Linked DNA regions of Tamandua tetradactyla. The protein of the gene in region 1 purifies or fractionates together with the protein of each later gene. This does not show direct contact. Links are inferred from orthologs where the notes say so. Each region holds a gene or a part of one and is shown in the gene's direction. Other genes may lie near its edges.

Region 1 (7,316 bases):
CACTATGTAACATGCTTTCCATTTCTGTGTCCCTCTAGAAGAGGTTGGAAGTTAGGGAATACTGCTTTTGAGATTCAACTTCATTAACTTCTGCATTGGAAAATATTGTGGCCATTAGAGCTAACAGAAAGACAAAGTTTTAATGTCTATGTATTTCCCTAGTGAATGTATTTTAACCTCAGTGTCCTAAACTGAGAGAACTAGAGTGCAAAAAAGGATATTCAAGAGCTTTGTGTTTGGAGAGAAGTTGTACATGTCTGTGTACTTAGGGGTTTGGGAATTGGGAGAATCATTGAAGAGAGAGTTGCTCAAAAAGACCTGAAGTTTAATAAACTTTTGACCAGCTTTGGCTTGGGAGGGTGGGGCTGCTCTTAAAACTGGATGTGAATAGGTCTTTTTTTCAAGCAATATCAGTGAGTGGGTCCCATCTGCAGAGTTCCAGGACCTGGGTCACTTAAACAGAGGAAAACGCTGAAGCATCTTGCACAGTTGCTTCATGAACTTCCATGAGGCTGATTCTGGCTTCAAGATGGAGCATTGAAGTTTTTTCCACCCCCCCCACCCCCATTTTAAAGAACCTGCTGTTGCGCTTTGTATGTTTTGTTTTTGTTTTCTATTTGGAGGCCTCATGGGAAAGAGCCTCTGAATTCTTTCCTTTGTGAACTCTCACTGTGTTCCTGTAAAGTCCCTTTTCTTTCATAATGTTGTAAGTTGCATTTTCATTAAGCCCCATCATATTTTCTTTACTGTAAAAATATTAAAAGGCTGTTTCCAAGTGGGATGGCTAACGAAGTTCTAATTATTGCAGACATATTTTTGAGATGTAAAAAAAAAATTAATGATAAGTCTTAGAGGTGAGTGAGGAATAAAATGGATGTAAACAGTTACATGGGATGCATTAGAATTCTGCTGTGTGTTGTCTTTTGGTTGAAACAAATTATGAACAGTGACTAATAATAAAAAGTCAATATTCAATGATTTAAAATTTGCTTCCTTGCTTCTTACAAATGGATTTGAAGCCTTGGATGAATTTTTAATCCAGTTTTGAGCTAAACTTACTGACCTGTTAAATGGTCCTTTTACAGTCAGAGATCTCAGAAATTTTAACAACTTAAAAACTAGTGTGGTAGACCATGAGAAAGTCTTTAATTTTAACTATAATGTGGTTGCTTACATGCTTGTTCACATATGTAAATTCTCAAACTAGGCAAAGAAAAAGTGGAATGTGTTTTAGGGGTGGTCATGGGGTTTCATTTATAAGCTGCTATTTGTGAATTGGTCTCCGAGATCTGTTATTGGGAAGAGAAAGGGCTCACCAGCCAAAATGAATTGTATATGCTCGTCTGTGTTATAAGAACTTTTCCATAGAAATGAGTGGTTGGAAGCTTCAGGTTCTCTAGCTTCAGGTTTTCTATTACCCTGATGATCCCTAACATCAGAGTAATAAATGTTTGAGAAGAGGAAGGTGTAGGCCTACGGAGTTATCTAGTATATGCAGAATTGCCTTTTGGCACTGTTTGATAAGCTACATTTCTATAATCTATCTTCATATATTGCTTAGTTAAAATTCATTTTTGTTCATATTAAATTTAGTTGGCACTTTCATTTAGATGTAATTAGATGAAAACATAAAAGCTACAACAGAAAAGTTAGAGCCTAGAAATTTACTTAATGAATAGTATTAAGATTTGAACTTTAATACCAAAGAACCAAATTCATTTTTATCACTTTTCGGGTTTTCCACACTATTTCCTTCCTCAGTCCAATTGTCCCCATATTTGAAAATATAAAAATATTCAGAGAAAAAGTTTGTTCAAATCTTGAAGCCAAGTGAATACTGCCTGTTTATTTGGAAATGAAATAAGGATTTTATAAATCCAGACTTATACAATCTTTGGTAGAATAAGAAGGGATTCAGACCTAAAGTTGACTTTGTGGTCATCAAAAGAGTTGGGAACTAGATGTAAATAAGTGATTGTAGTATCTTATGGCTCCTTTACCAAAATCTGATAGACACGAAATTTCTTTCTCCAGACTTTCTACCATTTTTTGCAGTGAGTATTAGGAAAAGCTCCTGGGATAAAGTCCATGTGTGTTTGAGCTGGGGGGTTGCAGGAACTGTGAGAGAAGGTATGCACAGCTGCTATGGGAAGGATGCAGGGCAGGAGGGCTTCTAATGACTGTTCTGCCTCTTGGCTTGATTCAACCTGATTTTGTTAATGATGAACCTGCAGTGAGGGCAGATGGATTTTTGCACAAGAAAATCCCAGAGAAATTTATTTTTAGGGTTAGTCTCAGCTGTTTACCATTTCTGGAAATTGTAGTTACATAACTCTTGGCATACATAATGCACATTGCCTTGAACTGGGAGAGAGCATGAATATGTGACCTTTGAAACAAAGTATAAAATGTTAATGGCAGTATATAAGGTGAGAACAACTGGTTGTCATTACTGAATTGGAAAAATAGTTTCTGAATTGGAAAAATCAGGTCTTAAATCATGGAGATCTTTAAACTTAGAGAATGGCATCATAAATTACCCCCTGAAATCTCTGCTGGTGGCTTCTTTTACTTCTCTTACTGTCTTAATTGTGTTGCCAGTATGGGGTAGTAAACACATAAACTTTTAGCATACACCATTATCCTGAATTGATGCTTCACTCACTAGTCCATTAATTAAACAAACAAAAAAATCTACCAATGTTATATATACCCCAGCATGAATTCAAACCCTAGTCCTGGGACAAGATCCTTCTCTTTCAAGTGGTCAAGCAATAAAGAGTTTCTGCTCATGAGATCGGAGAAAGTAATGTGTAATACTTCAAAAAACAAGCTTTTGGAACCATTTATTCTGATCCACATCTTTATTATTCTCACTGCTTGCCTGTGTGCCCTTGTTCAAATACACTTCTTTCTCCATGTTGGAGCCTGCCCCTAACATACTCGGGTTCTTGCTGGAAGAAGCAACACTAAAATAGGAATCTGACTAGTTTGAGTAGCTTTCTTGAAAGGAATTTCAAAGTAGAAGGAAAACCAGGTAGGTGTACAAGCTAAGAGCTTTTTCTCCTTATACAAAGCAAATGAAGATTAGTGGAATTTGAGGTATGGTATGTTAAAAGTAATTTATGGTAAATGGAAAATGTAGTGACCATCCTTTTTCTTTCACAGAAGTAATTTGTACAGGTTGAGAGTCTTGACAAGAACCAACTTTTGTCCTTGTATTTAAAATCTCCAAATAGACATAGTTCTACAATGAGAGGAAAACACTGCACAATTAGACCTGAACCTTTCTTGTACTAAGGAAATATTTACATATTTCCAATAGGTAATTATCTGGATTAGCAAAGGTGAAGCAATGGATAATAATGACACCATCTTTACCAGTTTTTCAAAACTCCATGGAGTATGGTTTTCTGTTGTTAAATATCCTTACGAGTTGCTTTAAGACTCATCAAGACCTTTGTAAAGAGAAGGCCTAAAATCTAGAAGTCTTGGAAATTCCGAATTAGAATGGCTGCTATGAATCCCTAAGTGTTATGCTCTTTGAATGTGTTACTCAGTAAATTTTCCTAACTATTCAACTGATTCACTTCTGTTTCACAGATAAGGAACCAGAAGTTTAAATAGCTTGCACAGGGAATAGGTCCAATAAGTGGTAGAGCTGAGATTTCAAATCAGACTGACTCCAAATTCGGAACACAAAACTACTAATATGGATGAGAAGTGAGCTGACACATTTTGTGAGGTTGGGTCGAATTTACCGAAGAAGGTCGTAGCATCTCTAATAAAGCAGAGGGTCTTGGTACGGTGAGTATTGTCAGTAAATAGTTAATTCAAGGACTTTGCAAAGGAGGGTGACAAGCCAGTTTTGAAACAGAAGGTACGTTTTAGGTAAGTAATAAGAGCCGCTCTCAGCGGAGGGCAGCGTCCCGTCACAACTGGCAGGTGCTGGCACTACCTGCCCCTTTTTCCTATCACTTCGGGGGCGTGGATAGCAATAAATAACACTCCCAGCACCTCAGTGTTCCAAGCCGACCGCGGCTGTGGAGGAGGCCCAGCCCTGAGGAGTCGCCGAGCTCCGCCCTCCTGTCCCTCGGCGGGCTGGGGAATGCGCCTCCCCGGCGCCAGGGCCGCGCGGGGGCCACGCGGAGTCCGCAGCTACGCAGGTCCGGCGGGCCTGCGGGAGGGGCGGGGCCTGGGGCGGGGCCCGCGACCTGGGGGCGGGACCGCCGGTTGCTCTCGCGCGCCGTAGCGCCGGCCGGCGAGCCCTGTGCAGCCTCCGCCGCCGATGGGGGAGGTGGAGCCGGGCCCCACGGGCCCGCTGGAGCCCCCGGAGCCGCCCGAAGCGCCAGCGAGCCGCCGGCCGGGAGGGATCCGGGTACTGAAGGTGAGGCGGGCTGGCGGGCTGGGGAGGGAGGGGACAGCCCCCCCCCCGCCCCACGCGGTAGCCGAGGCAGCGGTGACCCCCTGCAGTGCTCTAGTCAGTCAGCTTCGCGGCCCGGCCGCCCCTCAGCCGAACGGGTTGCGCCGTGGTTTCCTCCGAGGCCTCCGCGCCGCGCCCCCGCCCAGGCCTGGCCGCCTCCGCCCCCCACCGCTGCCCATCCTTGGCCGCGCGCCACCCGCCTCGCAGGCCCACGCCTTCGGGCGGGTGTCCGCCTGGCCGCCGCCGCCCACCCGGCGCCTCCAGGATCCCGGGCCCCACCACTGCGCACCCGGGCCTCGCTCGGGGCCCAGTCGGGGGCTCCTGGCTGACCGCGAGGCTGGAAGTACGCAGGGCTTTCCTCTCGGACACCTGAAGACATCACCCCGGCGGCGGGATGGCGGTGGCGATTGGCCGGGAGCGGCGGGGCGTCCGGGGCCGCGCGGGGTGGAGCGGGCAGCCTCTGCCCTCTGGGCTTACAACCGAAGTTGCCACCCCACTCCCAGCTCGCGAGACACTGGCGAGGAAGGATGACCTGCCCCGCCTGGAGAGAAAATCCCCGGAGGCGCTTAATCGCCGGGAATGGCTGAGCATGCTGCAGAAGGGAGGAGGGGTTGGGCAGAAAGGGGCATTTCTGCTTGCGGGAGCGGGGCTAATCATCCTGGGAGGCTAATGGGGGAGCAGTTATGCAACAGGCAGCAAGCGGGGCTTTGGCAGGAATTAGGGGAGTGGGAAGAATTGAAAGCAGATGCGGCTAGGGTGTAGGGGAGCCTTGACGGTGACAAGAAGTTTGAATGCATATGGAATGTAGAGTGGGGAGGGGACTGTGAAGATGGTTAAAGGGAGGGATTGTGGGAGGCTCTCTGGGTGGAGTTTCTATTAGCCTTTGAAATAGAAAATTTCTGTAGGTCAAATATGTAAACTGAGTGTCCTTCTGGAAGTGGAATGGAATTCACACTAGAGTTCTAGAAGAAGAATGTGGCCAGAGAGAAGGAGGAGAGAAAATAAAACGATTATAATAGGACAGAATGGGGACAGCAACAAAAAGAGTTGAATAACCTAGTGAATTCATGAAACAAGATAAACTATAACTCTGTAAAAGATATTAAAAAAATTCTGACACTGCCTCCCAATCTTAATACAGTGACTTAAATAACTTCTCGTACTTTGACGTCTATATAAACCTCTTACATTTTGTCATTTATTTTATCATAAATTGCAAATATAATTATCCAAAGGCTTTTGGATAGTCATTTAAAACTGTAAAGTCACAGAAATGTAAATTGTGAATGAACTCAATGTTTTAAAAAAGTTCAACTGCTCTGGTTTATCAGGAAATGGCTGCTGTGAGAGATAGGCTTTACCCTCTGGCCTAGAAGGTAAACAACTTTGGCTTTTTTTTTTAATAAGTTTTTGGGGGGACGGAGTGGGAGGGGTTGGGGTGGAGAGTGATTGAATTGTGAGAGGGAAGTAAATGAGAAATGATTATCTTTATTGAACACAGCCTAACACCAGTTCCCAGCGATTCCAACCTGGGAACCATTAGAAGTATGTCAGAAATTGATCTTAATTGCAGTACTGAGCTAGTGTAGTGGGAGGCTGACGGTCTCTAAATACCTTTGCTTTATTGCATATAGTAAAACACTTTAAATAATCTTTGCAAATAAATGGGATCATTCTGGAGATTAGGTGCTCTATCTTACATTTAAAAAAAAAATTCCCTTAATTAGCTGAGTGGTTGAATTTTGTGCCAAGGGAAGCTAGAAGAGAATATGTACACATAAAATTTCCTTAATTGGAAATAAAGTCAATCTCCCTCATTTTCTTCTCTGAAGACCTTTTGAAAAAAAAAAAAGCCTTGTAATTTTTTTACACTAAAACTGAAACCATGAACTTCAATCATTATGGTTAAATAATATAATTCTCATTAAAAGGATAGTGTCATTAAGACAATATAACCCAGGCAGACTAAATCTAGATCCATCTTGTGGGTTATTGGAAAATTTTATTCAAAACCTGCCCCTAACAAACCTGAAATTGTGGAACTGTAACCTATATCAAATGTTGAAATCTGTTTTAGAACTACTTGTTAAAATGTACTTTGAAATTTATTGCTTTTGTGTGTGTGTGTGTATGGTAAATATCACAATTAAAAATGTTTAAGAAACTAGTGTATGAAGGGAAGACTGTTAAAATTAGTCTAGAAGGTCTTCAAATTTTGTTTTTAATCTGCAACCTTAAGATAACTCATGTCCTAGAAATAAAGTTTTTGTGATGTTGAAAAAAACCCTGTCCCTACATTAACTCAACAAATTGCTATTTAGAATATACCCCTTTACATTTGTAGTTGGAATATAAGTATATTTTTGATACTCTTAAAAATATTTGAAGTACCTTTGAAGCCTTTGAAGCATAGCTTTTAAAGTATTCCAGATATTTTCTACAGTTTGGGATCATGGTATGTTTTTATTTGTTTATTTGTTTTTACTTAGTCTCTAGAAGATATGAAGTTAGAAATAATCTAGTCAGTGGGTGCCATGAGATTTTTTTCAATAACAGTTTAAAATTTTTATCAAAATAATATGTGTACATGGTTTTAAAAAAATCAATTACTATCAACAAAATTTCCATGAACTAAAGTATTCTTCCCCTCTCCACCCTTTCCAAAATATTCTTTACCATGTATGTTCTCAGAGATGAGCTGTTTTAGTTTCCTAGGCTGCTTAAAGCAGATACCATAAAATCGGTTGGCTTAAATAGTTGGATTATTATCTTACAGTTTTGAGGACCAAAAATGTCCAATTCAGGGCACCATCAAGGTGATGCTTTCTTCCCGAAGACCTGCTGCCAGCAGACCTTGGTGCCTCTCTCACATGGCAAGGCACATCGTGAGGCA
Region 2 (7,221 bases), on another chromosome or scaffold:
CAGACCCGTCCCCATCTGGGAGGTGTACAGGAGGGTGAAGGGTACCTACAGGTACCTGCCTCGGGTCTGGGCTGGGGAGAACGCCCGGAGAGTGCACCCCCTTCTCCACCCCTCGGCTCTCCCCAGCACCCATCAGACCTGGGCTTCGGCTCCCTCCCACCTGTGTGCCCCTCCAGACTGGAAGGGGGACCTTGGCTCTCCTCCCAGGGGCCGGTCCCTCATCTCAGCAGACCCCTCAGGGACCCTCCCCCTCTTCCCTCCTCTAGCATTTCCAGTCCTTGCTCCTACTCCACCAGGCCCCTCCACCCACCCTGCCCGCTGCAACCCTCCTCACTCTGGTCTCTGCCTCCACTCCGTCCAGACCTTAAACCTCAGGGGCACATGCCCTGATGCCTTCCGGCAGTGGAGACGTCTCCCCAGGGGCCCTTGAGAGCAGCCTGCAGGGACCGGGGGCGTGGGGGTGGTGGTGCTGATCCAGCTCCCTCTAGCTGACAGCTCCCACTCTCCCTCAGCCTCGGGAAGCCTCCCTCTCCCCTCCAGGACAGTTCCTTATCCCCTGAGTGCACCCTTCTCTCTACCTGCTCCCCTCAACGTGGGTGCTCCCCACCCCCGACCGATTTTATTTATCCAGAGGCTTCCCAGCCCTTCCCTCAGAGCCCCCCACAAGGTCCTGCACTGATGCCTCAGCCGCTCATTCTCCCCGCTCCAAGCCTGTGCATTCCCCAGTCTTCCCCTGCTTGTGCCCTCAGAACACGGTGTCACAAGACCTCAAGGGCTCCCTACTGCCTAAGGGACAGGGTCCCTGCTCTGGCGCCTGGCCACAGGGCAGACATTGGCCCCTCTCTCTCCTTAGTTCTTCCCGGCCCCCATGCCTTGCAGGAACCCTGGGCAGGTCCCAGAACATCCCAGGGCCTCCCTCGGTGCAGGACCCCTGGGTCCCCAGGCGGGGTTAGATGTCCCTCGGGGCTGCCCTGGGCTCAGGTCCAGGTGCCGTGTCTGCGCCCGCGGTAGCCAGCCTCCCCTGCGCTCAGCCAGCGCCCCGCACGAGCGGTCCGTGCACGCGTTCGGCTGCAAGCGGCGGACCACCTGGGGAGGGGTCTGGACTTCCTGTGGCGGAGAGGCACCCCCAGCTGGGAGAGGGTGTCAGGTCCAAGGTGGGAGCAACCGAGCAGGTGGGCGCCAAGCGGAGGCCGGCTTTCCTGCCCACCTGTCCTTAGCACCCCTGTGCCCCTGCGTCCTCATCAGCCCTAGGGAACCGGCCTCAGCCCAGGCCTCAGCCCCGGGACCCCCACCTGGGGGAAGCCGGAGGGGCGGGGTCCGAGGCCGCTCGGGGTGATGTAATCCTCGCCGCCGCCGGCAGGTGTCACCCCGCCGTTTCTGTTGCGGGCGAGGGGCGGGGCCCGGCCGCGGGTTCCCTCCGCCCTCCGCACCCGCCTCGCCGTCACTCCGGCGTCCCGCCTCTCCTCGGGGTCTCTGCTCTCCGCCCCGCTCCCGTCGCTCCCTTTGCGGGCTCCGAACGAGGCCCGGGGCCCGGCGCGGTCTGAGGGCGGAGGCGACTGACGCGGTCAGGGAGGAGGCGCCCGAGCGGGAAGCCCTGGGTCGCCCCCGCCCCGACGTCGGTCAGGGTCCTGCGTGGGTTGGTGGCCAGGCCTCTGCCCGCGGCCGCCCCGTCGCGGAGGAGGGCTGCCCCAGCATGCAGGCCCGACCCAGAGGAGGGAAGGGACCGGAAAGTCTTGACATACGACATACCTGCGCAGCCGGCCGCAGGCCTGCACAGCCAGTTGGCAGAGGTGGGTGGGTGGGGTCACCTGGATTCCTCATCAGCCCTGGCCTGACCTCCTTGTGGCCTGCTGCTGGCCTGGGGGGCCGGGCCACACCCAGAGCCACAAAATGAAAATAAAATCCAGGGTCAGTCCGAGCCCTGCCCCAAGGCGCTGCCCCTGCTGCCTCACTGCCCCCTTCCAATGCCCAGTCCCCAGTCTCCACCCCCCAGCAGCGTACAGCCCTGGACACTGCTGGGTGGAAACTCCTGAGCCTTTGCCATGCTGTCCCTTTGGCCTCGTTGCCTTTACCTGTGCCTCTGCCACTCACGCCTCTGTCACCACCCACCACTGGCCTAGGGAGCTGGCAGGAGCCTTGGCAGGGCTCGCAGAAGCTCCCTGAGGAGCATGTGCCCGGCAGACCTTGGGGGCACCTTTCCTTACTTCTGTGGCCCGGGCCTCTGTACTTATTCTGCTTCCTTCCCCTTGGTACCACCTTTACTTATTCTCCAGCAGGCGAGCAAGGGCCTGGGGCTGATCTGAGAGCCTATGAGGGTGGGGGAAAGAAGTCTCCAAGCCCCCTGACTCAGAGGGCCAGGGCCCCTTCCTCTCCCACCCCCCTGGCTCAGGGTCTCCCATGCAGCCAGCTCCCCCCTGCAGGTGTGACCCCACAGCTCCAGCCTGGCAGGTCCTGGGTGGTCCTGGTTGCCGTGGGCAAACACCCAGGCCCCACTCGGGTAGAGCGTGGACTGCCTGCACCCGCGTCCTCAGCCTGCAGGGGCAGCAGGGCCAGGGTGGGGCCAGGGAGGCCCAGTCGTGGCATGACGGCACGCAGCCAGGCCCGACTGCAGTGGCATCCTCTGGGACCTGCAAAGATGGGGGCGAGAGAGCAGCTCTGAAGCCTGAGTGGCTTTTAGGGGCAGCTGCTGGGATGTGAGCACCCAGGGGGCCTGGGCCCAGGAGGCTGACCAGAGGGAGAGGGCTGGGAGGCCAGGCCTGGGGTGCTGGAGGGAGGAGAGCTGCCAGGTCTGAGCTGAGCCTGCCGCTGCCGCCCTGATGGGGAACTGGCTGTGGTGGCCATGCCTGCCTCCGGGGGACCAAGTATGTGCAGGGGGTCGGGCAGGGCTGGGAGGGGCCGGCCGAGGGGGCAGAGGGCGTGCCTGTGACTCGATTGTTTCCCTGCTACAGAGACTGCCTGAGCTTTAGCTGGGAATCTTGCCTAAGCCTCTTCCCTCTCCTTCTCCCAAGCTCAGTTTCCTGATCTGCGAAATGGCCGGGGCCCCTTAGGGTGCCCCAGGTGAAATGCATACAGCGTGTGGTCCACAGGGGGCACCCCAAAGCACAAATGATTCATCACTGTGGTTGTGGCCGTACGCCTGGGGGAAGGGGTGCTGGACTGTTGAGGCAGGTGGAGCTGGGGTGGAGTGGGGGTGCCGGCCGGCAGCGTCCTGCTCAGCGTGCAGCGGCTCCTATGGCCACTGCCAGCGCTGGGGGTGGGGGGTGGGGGGAAGCATGGCGCAGACACCCGTGTCCCAGCCAGACAAGTGCAGGGTCCTCTCCCACCCCATTCCAGCCGCCACTGCAGAGTCACAGTCAAGACCTGGGGCGGGGTGTGTGTGAGAGAAAGTGAGGGGCCCCAGAAAAGGGACGGAACGGGTGGGGGGGGGATGTTTATACCCAGACAGATAGCACCAACACTCCCCGGGGGCCCAGGATGTCACCAGGTCACCTCCCTGGCCATATCACTATTGAGCCCCTCTTGCATCCCCCGGGGACTCTGTGCTGGGCGGGGGCAATTGGGTGGGGGAATGGAAGGACCCAGAGACAGGGGAACGGGGTCGGACAGCAGGACGAGTCGGGGAGGGGAGGGGAGAGGGAGGGAGAGAGGGCTTTCTGGAGGGGGGTGGGCATTGCGTGGGGTCCCTAGGCCCGGAGCCCCTTTTTTTCACCCCTTTAAGAGCCTGCTTCCAAACCGCGCAAAGAGTAGGTGCTCCATAACGTGCTTGGACCCAGAGGCAAAGGCTGCCCAGCCCGGGGCAAGGCAGAGGGGTCCGGGCGGCCCCGCAGACACCCCCTCGCCGGCGGGCCGTGGAGGCAGGGGCCGGGCGGGCTGCGGGCGCGGGGCGGGGGCCGCGGGGCGGAGGAGGCGGGAAGGGGCGGGCGCGGGGGGCGGCGCCGCCACCGAGCCGAGCCGAGCCGGAGCCCCAGGCGCCCCGAGCCGGAGCCGGAGCCACCGCGAGCGCCGCCGGGCCGGGATCAGCCGCCGCCGCTGCCGTCCGCGCCCGCGCCCGCGCCCCTGCCTGGCGGGCGGGTAGTGAGCGCCGCGCCGGGGTGGGCCGGGGTGGGCCGGGGTGGGCCGGGGCCCCGCGGCGCCATGGCCGGGCCCGAGCCGCTGCGGCCGCGCCTGTGCTGCCTGGTGCGCGGCGAGCAGGGCTACGGCTTCCACCTGCACGGCGAGAAGGGCCGCCGCGGGCAGTTCATCCGGCGCGTGGAGCCCGGCTCCCCCGCAGAGGCGGCCGCGCTGCGCGCCGGGGACCGCCTGGTCGAGGTCAACGGGGTCAATGTGGAGGGAGAGACGCACCACCAGGTGGGTGGCCCCCGCCCGGGACCCCATCCCTGGGACCCCCGCGTCTCGGCCTGCGCCACGGAGGCAGCGGTGGGGGGGATGGGGGGTGGGGAGTGGGGGCTGCCGGCCTCCTTCCTAGACTCCCCCACCCCCCAGGAAGCTCAGCCCTGCGCCGCGCGGGGGTGGGGGCTGGGGGTGCCGCCTGGCAGGGAGGGGCCGCACTGCGGCTCGGGCCTTCTCTGCTTAGGTGCCTTTGGCCTCGGCGCCCAGTGTAGGGGTGCCCTGCATCCTAGGGGTCTTGGTGGGTCCCCACTTGGGGACCCTGCGTGCTTTCTTACGTTTGCATACACCCTGGGTGTGTGTGTGAGTGTGCCGGTCACCCGCGTGTGCATACATCTGTGTGTGTGTATGCATCTCTGACAGTGTTCACAGCCAGGGCTAGTGTGTACATGGACTCACCAGCGCGTGCGCATGTGTGTGCAAGCGCGTGGACAAGTCTTCACGCCTGGATGTATACAGGTTTGTGTGTGTGTGCAGCGCTGCATGCCCAGGTGAGTGTGAGTCCGACTGTGTGTGCACTCCCCTGCGTGTGGCTGTGTGCATGTTGGGCCCCGGGGACTTGGCCGTGTGTGCCCCAGCCAAGTGGGTCTGGGTCAGCTGCTTGTGGCAGCACATCCGTTAGCTCCGCTGGCCACAGCCCCTATCTGCAGCTGCAGGGCACGGGCCAGAGGGGGAGGGCAGGGGTCTTCTCAGTGGGTTCTCACTCCTGGGGGGTGCCTGCCCCGCTGGCCTGGGTCCTCCAGCCCTGCAGGGTCATGACCTGTCCACGTGGCTAGGTCTGGGTGGGCCAGGAGCTGAACTCCTTCTCCCACCCCAGGGACCCTCATCTGTCCATCTGTGTGCCCTCCTCGTATCCTTCTAGACCATCAACTGGATACGGTGGTTTGCTGGAGGAGTGTGGGGTCAGGGGCTGGGGGGCTCGACCTGGTGGGCCGGGGTAGGGACAGGTAGAGTTGGCTTACCCGGGGCCTCTGGGGCACTGGCCTCTCAGAGCTAAACACAGGACCACAGTGCCCCAACCAGCTGCTCCAGGAGGAGAGGGGCAGTTACAGTTCCTACCTGATAGATGGGACACATGCTTGGAAATGTGGCTGACCTACGCAGGGTCACACAGGAGGGGAGTGGGGGGTCTTGGGGTCACAGGGAGAGAGAAAAGCCAGGGCAAAGATGGGTCTGGCTCAGCTACTCCCGTCTGTTGACGTCTGCCCAGCAGCTGATGGGGAGGCCCTGGCGGCGCCCCTAGGCCATGGGGTGGGGTGGGGTCGTGGTCCCGCCTACCACACGGCTTCCTCTCCTTGCGGGTGAACCCCGACGTGCATGCCCGCAGCTGCCTGCGTGCTCCAGGCACGTCACAGGTGCTCACAGACTCACGTAGCAGCCCTAACCATTAGTACCCGTTCCACAGGTGGGCCGGCCCCATCCCCCTCTGCCTCTGGGGCCTGAAGCCCTCTCTCCTGGCCGTCTGAGCCCTGCCAAGCTGGGCGTGGGCACCTGGTCAGAGGAGCCCAGCTCTTTGCTTCTCTGCAGATGCCAGGTCCCAGTCTGTGGCTAACGGAAATGGGGAGAGGCAGGGGCTTAGGGGCTACATGCTGCTGCTGAGAAAGATCCCTCTAGACCGGGCCTGGGGAGACCCTGCTCTGTTCCTGAAACCCGGCCTGAGCGCCAGGCCCCAGGCCATGCATGCACAGACCAAAAACCTGAAGCTCAGACCCTCACCCTCTCCCTCATCCCCAGACAGACTGACCGACTCACGCAGCTAACCCACCCCTGCAGCCCCCTGCCTGGCCCCTCCTGGAGAGGACCCTGGGCTACTGCCAGCCCTGCTCAGATCCCCGGCCCTTGCAACCAGTCCCGGGTGTCGGGAGCTCTGGGAGAAGAGGGCGGGAGCTACCGAGGCTGGGGGTGGGGGGCGGGCCCGGCAGGCATCTCGGTCCAGCCGCCCATCCCTGCCGGCCAGCCCCGGGCGGGGTGCCGTCCTCCCTGGGCTCCGGAGCTGACCCCCCATTCCCCGGGCCAGGTGGTGCAGAGAATCAAGGCCGTGGAAGGGCGGACACGGCTGCTGGTGGTGGACACGGAGACGGACGAGGAGCTGCGCCGGCGGCAGCTCACCTGCACGGAGGAGATGGCTCGGCGGGGGCTACCGCCCCCCCATGAGCCCTGGGAGCCGAAGCCGGACTGGGTGGCCACGGGCAGCGCGGGCCCCGAGGCAGGCGGGAAGGTAGGCGGGCTTGCCGGGCACCTCCGCCTCGGCCCCTGGGGCTGCTCTTCCCACCCTCCCCCGGTCCCTCCCCACGCCCGGTCCTCTGTCCCACAAAGCTCATTCAGTCCCAAGTGGCTGGGCCCCCTGGGGCGGAGCTGCTGGAAGTCCTGGGACTGCGAGGGCCAGCCCTGCGTCCGTGGAGTCAGCACACGCTGTGGTCAGGGCAGCCGAGGAGGGGCCCCAGAGGGGTGGGTGATGAGTGGGTCTCAGGCCGGGAATCGGGGCTGCTGGCGCCCCGGGTTGTGAGCAGCTCCCCCTTCTCCCTGACCACTTTCCAGGCCAGGAGAACCGGGGAGGAGGGGTCGCGGGGTGGGGGCAGTGCCAGAGGGGTCACTGGGTGGCCTCACTGGGTGGAAGAGGTGTCAGATTTGGGGTTTGTGGGTGCTGGACGAGGCCGGCTATGTGGGGTCTTGACGCGCCATCTCTTCCCCTCCCCAGAAGCCTCCAGCGTGGGGGAGGGCTTTCCCTCTGTGCAGACAGCCTGACCCAGGCCAGGCCGGGGACCTGCGGGCACCTCCAGTTCTCTGAGGCTGGAACAGGCCCGGGGTTGGGTGGGGGGTCAGGCCATGGCGGGG

Evidence for each region.
Region 2: the proteins of PHLPP2 (region 1) and NHERF2 purify together in Homo sapiens (affinity purification with mass spectrometry; 3 studies listed by BioGRID and IntAct, with this or other methods). This does not show direct contact. The link is inferred for Tamandua tetradactyla from reciprocal best matches to the Homo sapiens genes PHLPP2 and NHERF2.

The regions. Positions count from the first base shown.
Region 1 is NC_135342.1:67,036,353-67,043,668, forward strand, and holds the start of PHLPP2 (PH domain leucine-rich repeat-containing protein phosphatase 2), read left to right. Parts: upstream 1-4,267; 5' UTR 4,268-4,288; coding exon 4,289-4,387; intron 4,388-4,864; exon of another isoform or gene 4,865-5,799; intron 5,800-7,316. UniProt on the Homo sapiens protein: Protein phosphatase involved in regulation of Akt and PKC signaling.
Region 2 is NC_135349.1:55,495,790-55,503,010, reverse strand, and holds the start of NHERF2 (Na(+)/H(+) exchange regulatory cofactor NHE-RF2), read left to right. Parts: upstream 1-4,134; coding exon 4,135-4,347; intron 4,348-4,570; exon of another isoform or gene 4,571-4,775; coding exon of another isoform or gene 4,776-4,877; intron 4,878-6,403; coding exon 6,404-6,604; intron 6,605-7,221.